Linked DNA regions of Drosophila melanogaster. The protein of the gene in region 1 interacts with the protein of each later gene in a biochemical or structural test. Each region holds a gene or a part of one and is shown on either strand. Other genes may lie near its edges.

Region 1 (8,259 bases):
ACCTATTGTTATCCTCCAGAGCGGAGCCAGAGGTGGAAATACTGCTAGTGGACTTAGCAGAATCCGCTTTTCGTTTTTTCGATGACGAGTTAGAGGAGCTGCCTGAGGAAGTGCTCGTAGATGTAAGGCTATTCGCCGTCGATGACGAAGAGCCTCCCTTATTGGTGCTTAGATTAGTGGCCGCACTGGAAGATACGCCACCAGTACCAGGAGCTATTGTTCCAGGCATGTTGCTTGCCGACGATCCAGCGCCTGACAAATTCTCCCTTTCTGAATTCGAATTACTACCGAATCCTCCGGTGGAGTCGTTCACAGTGGAGCTTGAGGATGTGCTGACTGATCGCAGATCCGATCCAAAACCAGAACTACTGTTGCTCAGATTACTGACTGATTGCAACTTTCCGGCTGCGCTTCCGGCTCCGGTTCCATTTGTGCTAAGGGTGTGGGCATGATTTGAATGCTCATTGGTTGTGGAAGGAGCTGAGTTAAGTCCACTGGCAGCCGAACTGCTCACATGAGTCCCAGTACCGCCCGATCCAGCTGTAGCAGTTGAAGTCGACGAACTGGGCTGGGTGTTGATACTGCTCGTTGTGCTTAAGCTGCTGGTGGCACTGGGTACTTGATTGGAGTCTTTGTTCTTAGAAAGCTTTGATGAGGATTTCTCTCGTGTCGACGAGGAGTTGGAAGATGTTGATGATGCAGATGAATTTGTGAAATTGTTATTCGCTGAATTGGTAGAGCTATCTTTTCCATCCTTGTCCTTGCTGGATGTGGATTTGCTTAAGCTTTTGCTATGTTTCTCCTTGTAGCTGTTGCTACTACTGCTCGAACTGCTGGCCGATGATTTGGTGGTTCCTGGTGCTGTTGACGATTGACTGCTTGTCGATTGCGTAGCACCACCGCTCGAAGCTGATATAATTCCCCCACTTCCACCAGGCACGTTTCCAGCACTGCTGGTGGACGAACTGCCTCCGGGCAGATTATTGTTTAAACTATTGCTAATGTTGCCGATGTTGCTACTCCCTGGTAGTACACTTCCTCCTCCTGTCATATTGCTAGCACTTCCCGAATGCACAGAACTCGAGGAGGGGTTGGGAGCCCCTCCTGTTGAGGATGACGAGCTACTGCTACTGCTGCTAGATGATTTACTTGATGCATTGCTCTTGCGCTGCTTTGCGGAAGATGATACGCCACTCCCACTGCTGCTTCCAGCAGAGATTCCAGCACTGGAGCTTGCATTCAAAACATTGCTGCTGCCACCAGCACTGCCACTGCTGCTGGTAATCTTTATGATTGTGGCCGAAGTTGTCGCGGAGTTCATGGTTGAATCGATCTCCTTCTCGGGCGACGAACACGAATCGGAAGAGGTGTCATGTTGAATGGGTTTATATGGAGGTATTGTTTTGACGTTGCCGCCCTTTTTCTGCAAAGTATCAAGAATTTGAACGGAAAAATCACGAATGCTATCCCTCACATACGCACCAGTTTGCTGTAATGGTGCTGACAGTAGCCGCAGTACTTCACATTATCCAGATAGTTACCAGCCTCCTCGCAGAGCAATCCAAGGCTCTGGGCGCAGGTGACGTGGAACTGCTGCTTGCAATTCGATTTGTTGCACTGCATACAGGCGCCAACATTGGCACGATTTGGTTTGCCAATTTCCTGGCAAATATAGCAAGCTGAAAATGGAAACGGATTGTAATTAATTATTGCCATTTAGCTAAGGCTAGTTTAACAAACAGGGGTTATAATTTTTCAATGAGTAACATTTTTTAAATAATATATGTAAATATAAAACATTTAAACATAGCTTACTCTTCGAGTACCGCTCCTGCGGTATTAATGACAATATGATGGGCTCCATGGTGGTCACATTCCCAAATCGCACCTCTGGGATGTACAGGGCGCAAACAACGTGCGCCCACCCGCTATTATCCGTCTTCTTAAGGGCGCCATCCCGCGAGGGACATAGTTCGCATCGGACGCGAGAGGTTCGCTCCTGGGACTCGCACTTGCGACAGTACCAGGGTCCAGTGGGAACCGTCACAATGCCATAGCACGCCTGGTGCACTGCCACAGTACAGTTCTGGCCGTCACAGTAGACGAGCGGGTTCTCCGGCCACCCCCGCTCGTCTGAACAAACGCAACAGCCGCCCACCATCTCCTTCATATCGTCCAACTTGAACTTTTTAATCTTGACCAGCTTCTTGTTCAAGCTTGTGGAGTGAATGGTGTCGTCTTTGCTGGAGTCTAGCTCCAGTTTCGCATTGAATGAAGACGGAATTTTGTTGGAGCTGCAAGTATATATATATATATATATATATATATATATATATATATATATATATATATATATAATATAAGAATTTTCCTTAAGTAAAAAGAGGATTTTTAAAACTCAATATATTTGGGTCCAATTAACGTTACCAGAGGAGCGTTGAAAGTTGAGCGAAAAGTTGAACATACATAAGTATGATGCACTTACGAATCTTCTGAATTTTATTTGTAATAGTATTTCTAATAAAAACAACGACTTTTTACCAAATTTGTATGGAATTAGCAGTAAAATTTATAAGAAATTTATTTGTTCAGCTTTCCTTATCAAGAAAATAAGCATGCTCTTTACTTTTTTCTTTCACATTTTTGTAATAATTTAAAGAACGTAGAGTCTATATAAAACATTTTTTATCAGAGCTCCGCTCCACCCCGCTCGAAGTCGACGATCTTGAGATAGAGGTTCCGGCCTTTCTCGTTATCGATAATATGCTGCTATCGAGGCAGGTGTCTATTGGCAAGGTCATTCGCACTCGGTTTTTCCACAATAACATCAACAAAAACAGTAGCCCTATAAAATATTATACCTAATTGTGCGCTTGTATTTACAACTTGGCCTTCGAAGCGAGAGCGAGAGAGATGGCACATGGAGCCCCGTTCGCAGAACATTTACACGCACACACAAATAATCTCTCAATGTCAAGGTAATTTTGCCGCTGCTTAATAATACATGCTAATTATGTATGTCGAATCATTTAAATAAAGACGGCCGAAAATATAAACAGCTATGCCACCGAATATTGATAGGAGGTTTTAGCACAGCAATACGAACAACAAATATTTTTAACTTTCACAAAACGGGCAACGCACACACAAACACTCTCTTCTGCGGCATTCCGTGGGCTGGTGTTGGTTCATTGAACCTGATTTAAATGGGCTACCAAAAATAAAACAGGAAAATGCAGCCCTGCCCCGAATCCAATTGGATGTCGATTTGGTCCCAATGTGCGATCGAACGCAAATATGTGGGTCGCGGAGATTTCACAACAACAACGGCAATTATTATAATAATAATAATAACGGCATGCGGGTGCTGTTTCTGTTTCATTCATGCATGCGCATCTGTGCGAGAGATCGCGGCGGAGGAGAGTGCGGGTCTAGTTGTACCGTTATTGGGTCAGCGTGTTGCCAACTGCCGAAAAAGAAAAACGCAGCCAGCGTGTTGCCAACAGCGGGTTAGCTGGAGTTCTCTAACTTAACGGTGTAAAATCACACACACTTGGCCATATGAAACGAGGCCGCTCTGCACGTTGCTTTTGTAATGAAGAGCAATGCACTTTCGACACAAGCAAACACACACTGTCGTCAGGCAGAACAGATACATACACACGCACGCGGGGAGATGCTACATTAATGTTGACGAAATGCCGGAAAAGGGGGCGCGCTTTTGGGGGGTGGAATACGGGTGGGTGTGTGTACATGTATATATGTACCCCATTTAAAACATCCTTCGGGGGAGTTTTTGGGGACTGGAGGGTAGTTTCTCCCAGTTTCCGCAACTCGTCTCTTAAAGCACTGCTTAAATTTCCTTCAAATTGTGTGTATACCCGTGGCTTGAATTTATTGATTTTTATGGGCAATTGCTTTAATTTCACTGGCCAGCAGGGCTTTAAAACGTCATCAGCGGTGTGCCACCAAACAAAAAGAAACTAGTTTCACGGCGGGGAAAATGCGCGCGGTCAAAGTCGTCAAGCAACGCACAACAAAAACAGAAAATATCTATTTTTTTCAGGGAGCGGTCTATCGAAAACTTGAAATTCTTTCGACTTTCTTGCTATTTTCACGCAGAGGTTTCTTATTGGCCGCTAGCACCCTCACAGAATATTGATTTTCTAAATTTCTTTACCCAATTTGGCACTTTAAATAAATGGTTTCCAGCCCGCAGCTGTGGGTTAGCGTTTATCTAGCTTTTCGTGGCTTTTCTCAGCACTTTTCCGCGTCTCACAGTCTTCACAGCCGCCCACGAGTAGCAAACGCACGCAAGTAAAATAATCAACACTCAAAAAAGGCGCTGAACAACACCATCCACCAGCGCAACAACAACACTGTGTGCGCGAGTATTTACAACTACAGCTACAACAACACCAGCAGCACACACCACTCCACACACCTTGTAACTTGTTTGTTGTTGTTTCGCTCGCACATCGGGAGCGAGCAGTGCGGGCGCGAGAGGGAGACAACACCACCTGCTCTGTATACAAATGCAGCTTAGTGGATACAATTTTGCTGGATGCGCGGTTTTTCCAATTGCCCGAATATCGCGAAAAGCTTGCAATTCCGAGACGTTCCGCGTTTTCCTTCTATGCAGACAGGTTTTTGAGCATTTTAACGCCGAAACAAGAAAAACCTCGGTTACCAGACGAATGGGCAGATTTCTAGCGATGGGTACTTTATCAGAGAAGGGTAAAATGCTTAGAGATGGGATGCGACTTGTCTGCATTTTTCCAGATTCAAAGGAAAACCCGATATTCATTATAACTTCCCTCTCTTATTCAATGCTGCTAATTATGGTGTAAATGAAGGTTGTAATTTAAGTAAATCGAATTCTTATTGGTGTTGGATCATAGTATTGTCAACATTAATGCTCGTCATTTAAATAATGGAGATGTATAAGGAAATATTTTATATATAGAACACTAAAATACCTAATCCTTATAGTTCTTTTAGAATTCTCCATACTAAACAAATAAATAACGTCCGATGTTGCCAGACGAGTCAACGGCTCATCGCCACGGTTCATTTCCACGATATATATTGGGCAGTGTTGAATAACGTTTGAACCTTAAACAGCTGTGGGAAAAATCAATTTTGCAACTCCCTCGCGCACTTCTGAAGAAACTTCTTCGCGAGAAAAGCACGGATAAAAATGACCAACGGTGACTGCTTTGTTGTTCTGCCCGAGAACTGTGCCGAAGGAACTTTGATCATCGGTCGCAATGCGGAGGACGAAAAAAACGTCAACGTTGCTTCGGAGGTTTGCTTCTACGATGCCACCGAAGTGCTTGAGGGGAAGGTAAAGACAGACTCCTCCGAAAACGAAGCTCGATCAATGACTCACCACCCAAACACCTCACATTTCAGACTGACGGTGGAGCTTCTGCCGAGACAGGCGGCGATATGTTGCGTGTTATATTGCAAAAACCGCAGCCGGGTCTCTGGGGTGGGGACTTCGGGGCCAATGAACGCGGAGTGGCCCTAGGTCTTACCTGGGCGGCAGGTGAAAACGAGGCCAAGGACAGCGACAGCCTGCTGGGCACGGATATAGTGCGGTAAGTTCTCTTTCAATATCTGCGTATCAACAAACTATGCACAACAAAGCAAATTATTTGCACTTAATATAAATAACTTTCATCACTAAAAATGTATGTACATATGAAGTCTATATAATGCAGAACGTAAATACTTATTCAAAGGATGACATTTTGTGGCTGATGTTTGTAATTAGCATTCCAATCCTTTCGTGTCCTTTAGGGCTTATTAATGCTTGAAGATACTATTATTTCAACATTATTTCATAAGTTAATTAAAAACGAATCAATCAGAAATTTAATGTTGTCGAGAAACTAAGGCTTTTACAATTATTATAAATCATGAAATAATAAATCATCTAATAACTTTTTTGTAGCTTGACTTTGGCTGTCGCCAAAGATGTGGACGATGCTGTAGACCGGATTGGAGCTTTGGTGGCCAGTCACGGTCACGACAACTCCAAACTAAACTTCATCGCTTGCGATGCAGCTGCTGCCTGGCTTGTGAGTTGCTCTGGCAAGGTATGGGCCGCTGAGAAATTGGAGGCCAGCTTCTTGCGTTTGCCCTCCGGAGGACTGGCTGTGACCACTGTGGTGAACAAGTCAAGCGAGGGATTAGATGACGCTGCCAGTTTTGCCGCTGCTCACGATGCAGAGGCCCAGGCCCCGGCAGTGGATTGGTGTGGTCCCAAGCCAGCTGGCGATGGAACATATACCCAGCACGACATGTTCGAGACGCTGCGATCCGCCAGTAATGCGAGCAGCTCGAGGGCGGCTACCGTTTCGGTGCTGTCGGTGAAGGGAATCTCATGCCATTGGTTCACCGGGACGCCCAATGCCGCCGAGTCTGTGTTTAAGCCGTTCGTTTTTGCCCCAAATCCGAGGATCTCGCCGCTAACCCAAGTGCAAGCGGAAGCGGACTTGACGTTGCTGCACAAGCTACACTCGCAACGCAAGCCGGCCGCCTTGGAGCACTTGCGCAGCTTGGAGCTCTCCTGCGTGGACGAGCTAAATAACTATTTCTCTCTGCAGGATCACGCCAGTGACGAGCTGGACGAACTGCTCAAGGACTGTGTCGAGGCGGAAGTCAAGTTCTATCGCTAGACCAACGAATACTATCTATATGGATACTCCAAAAACTAGCTTGCAAGCTCTATTGAGCATCGGGATTTGACTTGAGCATTCTTATGGCATTACCAAATAGGCTTTAGTCGTCAAAATATTTTCTTGTGCAATCTCTACTGATTTTATTTCGTTTAGTTTTTATGCTTTTGCGTGATATTTAAATTATTATTTATTCTGTCTCAGTGGGCAATCTCCGACTTGAATTTAAAGTATTATTGTGTGACATTCCAGGCTTAGTTTAACGATTTACATACTTGCATTCAAATATATATGAATACATATACAAATATACATTATATATGGCTCTCAAATAAACGCATAAAATCTGCATTTATACAAAAATTAAAAGGGCTTGTCGTATTTGGATACTTATTTTAGGATTCCTTTTTTTTTTATTACAAAGTGATTTAGAAGCGAAATGAATTGATAATTTAAATTGAAAAATGACAAGATAATTATTTTATTTAGCCCCACTCTAAACATGTATTTACAAAAATGGTCAGCCTGATCTGATTCAATCAATTCCCAATATCGTCAGAGTTAGAAATTATTCAGATACAGCGAGATACAAATTCATTTTCACATTAATTGACCTATTCGTGTTTTTAGACGGATTCTACAACCAAATTGGTCTTAAAAATAGTGCTATCATTGTGCAAGGCCTCTAGTTTTGTAATTTCAAATGACTGGTAAATCTCGCGGAAGTCCATAATGTTTCGTGGGTCGCTCTCCATCCAAAAGCGGTCAAACTCGAAGAACAGATAGCAGTACAACTTGTGGAAATCCTCCACGGTGCTAAAGTCCTGTCTGTGCTGCACCACCAAATTGTAGAAGTGGGTTTTGGCGGCGCCCGTTTTCACTAGATTGAAGGCCATGGAGGTGAGGTTAATGCCGACAATGGCGTAGGTGTAACCCAGGGTGGGATGCATCGAGTGCAGCAGGACATGTTTGGCGGCGTCGTTATAGGCAGTTGCAAAGTAGAGAAGGTTCTCTAGCCCGAGCATGCCCATTCCCCGAAAGTCCGTCTTCGGATCGTCGCCCTGGAAGCCGATGTCCTGCCACTGTTTGGTCACGCGACCGGTGAGGGGAGTGTCTGGCATCAGCAGTTGCCACAATCGCAACAGCTTTTGCTCGTGGTCGAGGTTATCCGAGTCGTATTTCTCCGCCCGCAGCTGTTCCACCTGATGCATCAGTCTGCGGTAGCCCCAGATACTCGTCACGCATGTGCCGAAGAGCCGAGCAAAATCCGGGTGGACATTGTTCTTGATGCGTTTCGCCTGCATCACAATGCGAGCAGCGCGAGGAGCTGAAAGTATTGGGTAATGATTAATAATATTTAACTTAGTGTAAGCTTGTAATGATTATGGTGCTTTGTGCACAGAGATTATACTATTCCTTGGACTAACCGAAATCCAGCAGCTCCGCGTTGCTCACATATGGCGCCGCCTCATCAAGGTCAAGTACAAGTCGTCGTATCTGCGGCCTTTTGGACAATGTGAGGGACCTTTCCACCTGGCTGGTTCGGCTGGCTCCGGCCTTCGCTCCATAGCAA
Region 2 (7,267 bases), on another chromosome or scaffold:
TGGATGCTTTGCGACACGGTGGCTTCGCTCAGCTTGACCAACGGTCCCATTCGGTGCTGTGTGCTGTAATTCAGCGCCGCGGTCAGTGAGAATTGTATAAAGAAGCTATGCGGTCGCATGCCAGGTCCCGCATTTATGGACTGGGCCAGTATCGATAGCGAAGATTCATTGTAGAACTGCAGGTCGACGAAGCGTAGGTAACAGAAATCTTCGGACACGGATGTTGTAAATAATCCTGGCTCCAGTGTAATTCTAGTGCAGCGCACGCATTCATCGCCCGCTCGACTAAACTCGAGTATCATGGCCTCCTGCCCGCTGATGGTGCAGGCCAACATGTCGGTCCTGGACGCTTCGTTAACGTAATAGGTGCAGGTGACGAGATCCCTGTCCCTATGATCCTCGCCGGGCTCCATGGGCGGCAGGTCGTTGCATATCACCGTCGAGGAGACCTTGAAACTTCCGCTTATGCTCTCCGTTGGCTTATGGAACACGGCATCGATGGCATTGAACATCTTGTCGCGCTGCTGCACAAGCGACAGGTTCACGTCGTGGGGCACAAAAAGTTTGCAGTTGCTTAGGCATTCGTTGTCGGTTACCATCTCCTCCCACAGCTGGACTGGATCCCTGGGATAGAGCTGTGTGAGGTAGGCATTGTCCAGATACTGGCCCACTCGTTCCAAATTGAATTTGCTGCGCGCAGGCGGTGGCGTTTGGGATTGCGAATCCAGTTCATCCTCATCATCGCTGCGATCGTCCAATTCCGGTTCCATGGCGCAGATGAAGTCGGCCATGGCAATGTTCTCCTCCTCGGTGAGCACCAGGTCATCGGGAATCTCCTGATGCGACAGCCGTAGTATTGTGAATATCATCCAGGCGTGAAAGAGCTTCATGTCGTACGCCAACGTGTCGATTGTTCGCTGCAGCTCGTGTACTTTGAGCACAAATCCTCCACAGGCTCGCATCGCTTCGTTGGCCACATCCGGAGAGATTAGGGACTAATGATGACATTAGGATGCCTAATGATTAGTTATAATTAATGGAAAACCAGCAAAGCCTCAACTAACCTCAAAAAAGTGCGACATGCGACCGAAACCCGCGATTGTGTTGAGGAAATAGAACATGTTGATGGCTGCTCCATTCAGTTGCTTGAAAACTAAGCTCTGCAGATTGCTTAAACTAAGGTCCACCGAGTTGGCAATCTTCTTGAAACCCTTCTCGGAAAGAGTCCTGCGAAATGAACATGTCGATATGATGAGCATGAGGATCGACCAATACATTAGCCACTCACTCGAACAAAAACTCCTCTACCTCGAAGGTAGCGAATCCAAAGACGTGCAGCTCCAGAAAATGGGCAGATATCACTCCGTACGGCTGGGAATTGGCGTACCTGGTTAGCTTATTGTCCATTTCCAACTGCACGGTCTCCCAGGCCTCCGTCAAACATTGTTGCGTGTCATTAATATAGCTAAATAGCGCCAAACGATGGTTAGTAACATAACTTATTGGCAAATAAATGTATTACTTTTTGGTTTCTAGGATGTGGGCACAATGCGTTGCCAGCTCCAGCATGGGTGCCATGCAATCCTGCAGCACCTGGTTTTGAAAGTGCAGCAATATCAGCTCCTGACCGTCCCGCAAAAGAGCATAAATGGCATTACAGTCTCCGTTCATCCTCACATCGTACACATCGAACTCGTGCGGATGCAGAATGTGCTGTGTGAGATCGATGCTGCCCGCCTGCAGGGCTCCTAGGAGCAGTAGGTGCACTTTGCCGCTGCGCATTATCACCACCAGAAAGCAAGGTGATCCCTTTGGAAAGGACTTTTGGTCCAGGGTTTTCAGGCACGGATCAATATTGGTCATTGGCTGCAGTTTGGGCAGGAACCTTCGGTGTTTATCCTTGACATTACATGTGTAAGTTCCTAGAATCGTTTATAACACAATCAAATCCCTGTAGCTTATTTCGTATCGCTGGTTTACCTAGGTTCTCCTGCGAGTTGATGGCCTTGCTGAAGTAGACCTTCTTGATGTCGTCCTCGTAAATGAGGCCTGATATTATCGTTCCGCTCTCGGCGTCCAGGAGCGCCACCTTGCCGTTGCTGTAGCCAACCGCCAGGAGTGTCTCGTCCATTTGCCAGCTGAGCGAACGCACCCGCACATCCTCGCCGGGCGTGGGAAAGGTGACAATCTTTTGCCAGTTCAGACGCTGGATGACCACCTCACCTATCCACATGATTGGGATAAGCCCACTGGCAGTTTATTTGGTGATTCTTGGCAATTTCGGAGGCAGACGCTCACCCTTTTCCGTTCCGTAGGCAATTAGATCCATCTTGTTGTTCCACTCCATACGCTCCACAATGCAGGACATGTTGCGGGCGCCCAGCAACTTCATGGAGCTCGTTTGTGCCATCTTTCCACGCTAGAATTGGCTCGCGGCGTCTCTACTGTGCATCAAATATTTCAATATAATAATTTTAGTTTACACTTTGCCGGCTCCTGTTGCAGTCTATCGAATAATATTCCTGCTATCGATCAGAGATGAGCGGAAATAGTAGCTATTACAAATTGGTTTCTCCAATTCTTCAGTCATTTTTGACATTTTATTTGATTTTTGTCAAATGTTTAAACAAAATATTTGTATTAAAACTTCGGGACAGCGAGAAAGAATGTGTATTTATGATTGAAACTTCTTAGATATTTGTACTTATGCACGGCATGGCAAATTATCTGCCAGCACAATTTTGTTTTATTCGTACTTTACTTTAGTCTTACAAACCTACATAGTTTTAAAAGCTTTTGTTTGGAACACATAATGATTTGCGAAACAATGAAAAAATCGGGAAAATCTAAATTAATCGATCTTAATAACTGCCTGTTAGGAAAAAATCTCAAATTCTGGCTATAAAGGCGCTAGGTGGGCAGCACAATTGGCGTCTTTTGATTTCCACACAAAAATATTGGCAATTTCAATGTGTTTTTTTTTAACTTAAAGTGTTAGAAAGCTGGATAGTTGTTAAGATAGAAAGGTGGTCCTTCAGTCTGAGTCGTTCCTCATTGATCAGGTTAAGCGTAGTTTAGGCCAATTGTATTTAACACTGTGATGTTATATGCTTATAAAACATTTATGTGGGTCAAAAATAAAGGTAGATGTTAAAAACAATTTTACAATTGAACTTATAGATTAAGTATGTATATATATGTATATGTATATATGTATATGTATATACTACCGCTGACTGACGCCAGAACTTCAGTTTGTCCAATTTTTTTATCTTAAGGGCTACGCTACGAAATATGTATGTACATATATCGTATAAAGCCGGTGTGTATGTATCCACATAAGCGAGTGAATCCGAAACAGTCATCTGTATCTGCCACTCAACTAGTCATCCGCATCCGGCTGTCCGTTGTCCAGCTCACTACTCTCGTCCGGCTTGATATTCTCGTCTTGATTGATGCTGCCAATGGGGCTGGCCGGTTCGGGATCCTCCTCGTCACCGCCATCTATATTGCTGCCGCCACCGGTGGTGCCAACGCTGCCGGGAGCAGTATCATCGCCGGCCCCACTGCCGCCGACGGAGCCCAGGCCACCGGATGATCCCAAATTGACGGAATTCGTATTCCCATTACCATTGCCGCTGCCCGTGTGCCAGGTGAGGCGCTCCTCATAGAACTGTATGACCACCTGGGGGCATCGAGTGTTGGCCAGCTTGGCGGGCACAAGGTCGGCGTGATCGCTGCCCTTCCACTTCATGAGGAACATTAGGTGCCCGGATGAGTCGGTGGCGCCCAGTATTTTTGATGCCTCCAGACCGCGCTCAAAGCCGATCAGCTTCTTCTGCTCCTCGGTATCGTCCTCCAGGAAGCTCTTGCGCTTGCTGCGTATGGATTCGGGTGTGGAGGAGGTGGACAGGCGTTTCTTTGTCTCCTTCTTGTTGTTCTTCAGCGACTCCTCGAAGTTGGCTATCAGGTCTGGACAGTCGAGATTCTCCACCGGCTCCCAGGTGTTTTCGCTGCGCGGATAGCCCTTCCACTTTAGATAGTATTCCGTTCGTCCGTTCACCGTTCGCTTGTCCTCGACGCGTTCCACTGAGAATTCGGCCATTGTGCTTTTACGCTAATTGTGTTATTCCAACTGCGAATTTTGTTATTTTCTTGGCGTCCAAAACTTATTTATACGTGCGATTAAAGAGATTGAAGAAGAAGAAGAAATCAAGATGGCAACTCCATGGTCTCGCCATCGGCAACTATCGCTCTCTTGGCCAGTAAACGCATTTTAATTAAAAAGCTGAAACTTTAAAAACTTTACAATTGTAATTTTATCATTATCTCTTGACCATTTTTAAATTTTGACATATATATATATTTTTTTTAAATTACCCTTTCTACCATCCCTGTCAGCGATAACTCTCCAGAAATTGGACAATCGATAAACGGCCGTTGCGTTGCACGTGCGCTAGTTTTTAAAGAAATAAACAATATTACTAAGTACGATTAAGGAGAAAACTAAGCAAATATGGCCGAGTTCATAGCTGAGATGCAGGAGCGCCTGCTGCCGGAATACGAGCAGATGAAGAACTACAGCGTATTCACAGCGGATCAGGTCAGGTGAGAAATCCAAACGAATTTGGAGTCTGTGCCCCCATTTCATCCATATTCTTGCAGAGAAATCGTTAGCAGGCGGGAACGCTTGTTCCTTAAGATCAACAAGAGCCACCAGAGCATCACCGACTACCTGGACTTCATACTGTACGAGAAGCACATGCACATGACCATCGTGGACAAGGAAAAGAAGATGCACGTTAAACTCACCGGTCTAAAGGCCTCCATAGCCACGCGGATCATGCGCCTGTACAGAGAGGCCTTGGCTAAGTTTAACCACGACAGACGGCTGTGGAGCAACTGGATCAAGTTCAGCAGGAAGTCAAATCCTGTCGAGGTGGCGGGCATATACGAGAAGATGCTGCTGGTTAGTATTTGCCAGCCTGCTCACTTCCATTGATTACTTATCCATTGTTGTTATTCTTTTGCAGTACCATGGCGACTCGCCGGATCTTTGGGTGGACGCCGCCTTATGGCTGTACGAGTTCAATCGGCTCAACATCGATCGAGTCAAGGACATCCTGCTGCGTGGCTTGCAGAGACATCCGGATTCCGAGGCACTTAACAAGTGCTTCTTTGACATTATGCTGAAAGAGGCTGCCCTGGCCAGCAACGAACGCAATTTAGCCGAGAATACGCTCTCGGAACAGGACATCAAATTGGAACGCGTGGAGGCGGTCTACCGCAACAGCATGGCCAATATTACCCAATTGGACTACTTTGTTAAGCTTCTAGAAAGCTGTGAGGATCATCAGGAGCTGACGGGCAAGCTGCAGCGAATGATAATCGATGATATGCAAGAGAAGTTCCCCCGGGAGCCGGGCCTGTGGGATTTGCTTGCCCAGCGAGAGTTGCGCGGCTTTCATCTGGGCGACCTGGAGGAGGAGGACTTGGATACCAGTGACGAAGAGCCGGCCAGCAAGAAATCTCGTTCCGTAAATGGCCGCTCTCTCAAGCGACGCATTCAACTCTGCGTTACTGTATACAAATCGGCGGTGGAGGAGCTGCAAACGACAGAAATGTGGAATATGTATTTGGATGCCATGCTGGCACTCAATAGCGATGGAAAGACGGAGCGTATACTAAAGCAACAGTGCCTAGCGGATGCCTTGCAGGCGGGCCATCGCTCTCAGTTGATGGGCGTGAAACACTATGCCACATTAAGAAAGATGCTCTGCACTGCTCCGAGTGGAAGGGAGGCAGCTGTCACCATACTCACGGAAGCCCTGAAAAACGATTCATCGGTGGAGATGCACGAGCTTCTTCTGGCCACGCACATTCAAAGCGACAGTGAGCCCTTGATCTATGAGCTATTCAACAAGATCCAGAAGAGCATGGGCAGTGAGGCGTTGCCGCTGTGGCGCAGTGTCATTCTGTATTATCGCACTCGGCAGGATAGCTTGGGCGCACGCCGGCTGGATGAGATCTACGGTCTCGCCTGCAAGGCTGCGTGGCCGGAATTTGGTGAGCTGCGCTCCGATTATTTGCGCTATCTGTGGCAGGAGCGGTCTGTCGAGGAAGCACGCAAGGAGTACGCCAAGCTGGCCATTCTACCGCCCATGTCGTTGGCGCTGCACCGCCAAATGGTTCAGCTGGAGTCCAGTGCGGCAGCTTGTGTATGTTTTGTTATCTTTGCTACTTTGGCATATAATTGCGAGGCGCAACTAATTTACTTTATCTGTTGCAGGACCAGGCCAGCCTGAAATACTGGCGCATGTGCTACGACTTTATGGCCTGCTATTTCGGCAAGACACAGCCGCGCGTTTGGGTGGAGTATCTCGCCTTCGAGCGAGATCACGGCGAGGCGAAGAACATCTCCCTGCTCACCCAGCGGGCTCTCAGCACCCTAGAGCCTCAATATGTCGCCGCGTTTGAGGCGGAACGGGCACTGGCCTATGTGGGCGCATCGATATAGTTGGCTAAATAGTTTATTTGTGCTTCTGTTTTTTTCATTAACTTAATTTCTAAGTCGATCTTTCGGACTGTCTATAGTGATTCGATTCTAAAATAAGGACTTGTGAATATACAGCTTATAAGATAATTTATGAAATCTGATTTTTACTTTGGCAATATGCAGGTGTGTGAATTCAAAGTACAGTCATATGGAAAAGTTCTCATTTAACCATCCTATTGTTGAAATGTCCTTTTCAAAAGCGGTTAAATTATGAGTAATGCTATACGAGAATATCCTTTAACCTCTTCCGTCGACGGATGTGCTCATAAATCCGAGCTAATTGCGTTTTCCGAAGGTAAACAAAAACATGGGCATTAACTTTGCCTGCCTGACGCCGCTGCCGCCGCCGACAGCGCTGCCGACGTCGACGCCACTGGAGCTTTGAAAGCGAGTGGCGGCAGAGCAGTTGGCCAGTTCACTTGCGTACGCCGTGGCATCAACACGCACCAGCAAAATCAAGCGCATCCAGTCGACCCAATCCAGTTCCATTCCATAAAAGCCAACGAAAGCGAAATCTCAACCGAGCGTCATGGAGTTCAACAATCGCCTCTTGCTGAAGATCATCGAGCTGGTGAGTAATTGTATTTAAACTAGATCCGAAGGAGACACCTTGTTAACAACACAGTATTAGTTAGTTGATCATCCAAAATACAGACAATTAAATTGCTCATTAAAACTTTTTAATGTTGCAACAGCGATTTGAAGTTGATT

What was found. Proteins that work in one complex are often made in the same cells at the same time.
Region 2: the proteins of Alh (region 1) and HP1b form a complex in vitro, tested with the Drosophila melanogaster proteins (one study listed by BioGRID).

Annotation. Positions count from the first base shown.
Region 1 is NT_033777.3:7,119,460-7,127,718, forward strand, and holds the start of Alh (alhambra), read right to left. Parts: upstream 4,727-8,259; 5' UTR 4,480-4,726; coding exon 4,445-4,479; intron 4,280-4,444; exon of another isoform or gene 4,181-4,279; intron 2,295-4,180; coding exon 1,816-2,294; intron 1,680-1,815; coding exon 1,483-1,679; intron 1,424-1,482; coding exon 3-1,423; coding exon of another isoform or gene 1-2. Other genes in the region: CG10098 (uncharacterized protein), read left to right, coding at 5,201-5,347, 5,416-5,603, 5,960-6,686; CG10068 (uncharacterized protein), read right to left, coding at 7,313-8,013, 8,114-8,259.
Region 2 is NC_004354.4:9,078,197-9,085,463, reverse strand, and holds HP1b (heterochromatin protein 1b), read right to left. Parts: upstream 4,211-7,267; 5' UTR 4,106-4,210; coding exon 3,383-4,105; 3' UTR 2,718-3,382; downstream 1-2,717. Other genes in the region: APC4 (anaphase promoting complex subunit 4), read right to left, coding at 1-995, 1,065-1,227, 1,289-1,465, 1,523-1,922, 1,981-2,223, 2,299-2,410; CG7246 (uncharacterized protein), read left to right, coding at 4,517-4,608, 4,666-4,969, 5,034-6,218, 6,290-6,517; CG44325 (uncharacterized protein), read left to right, coding at 7,086-7,127.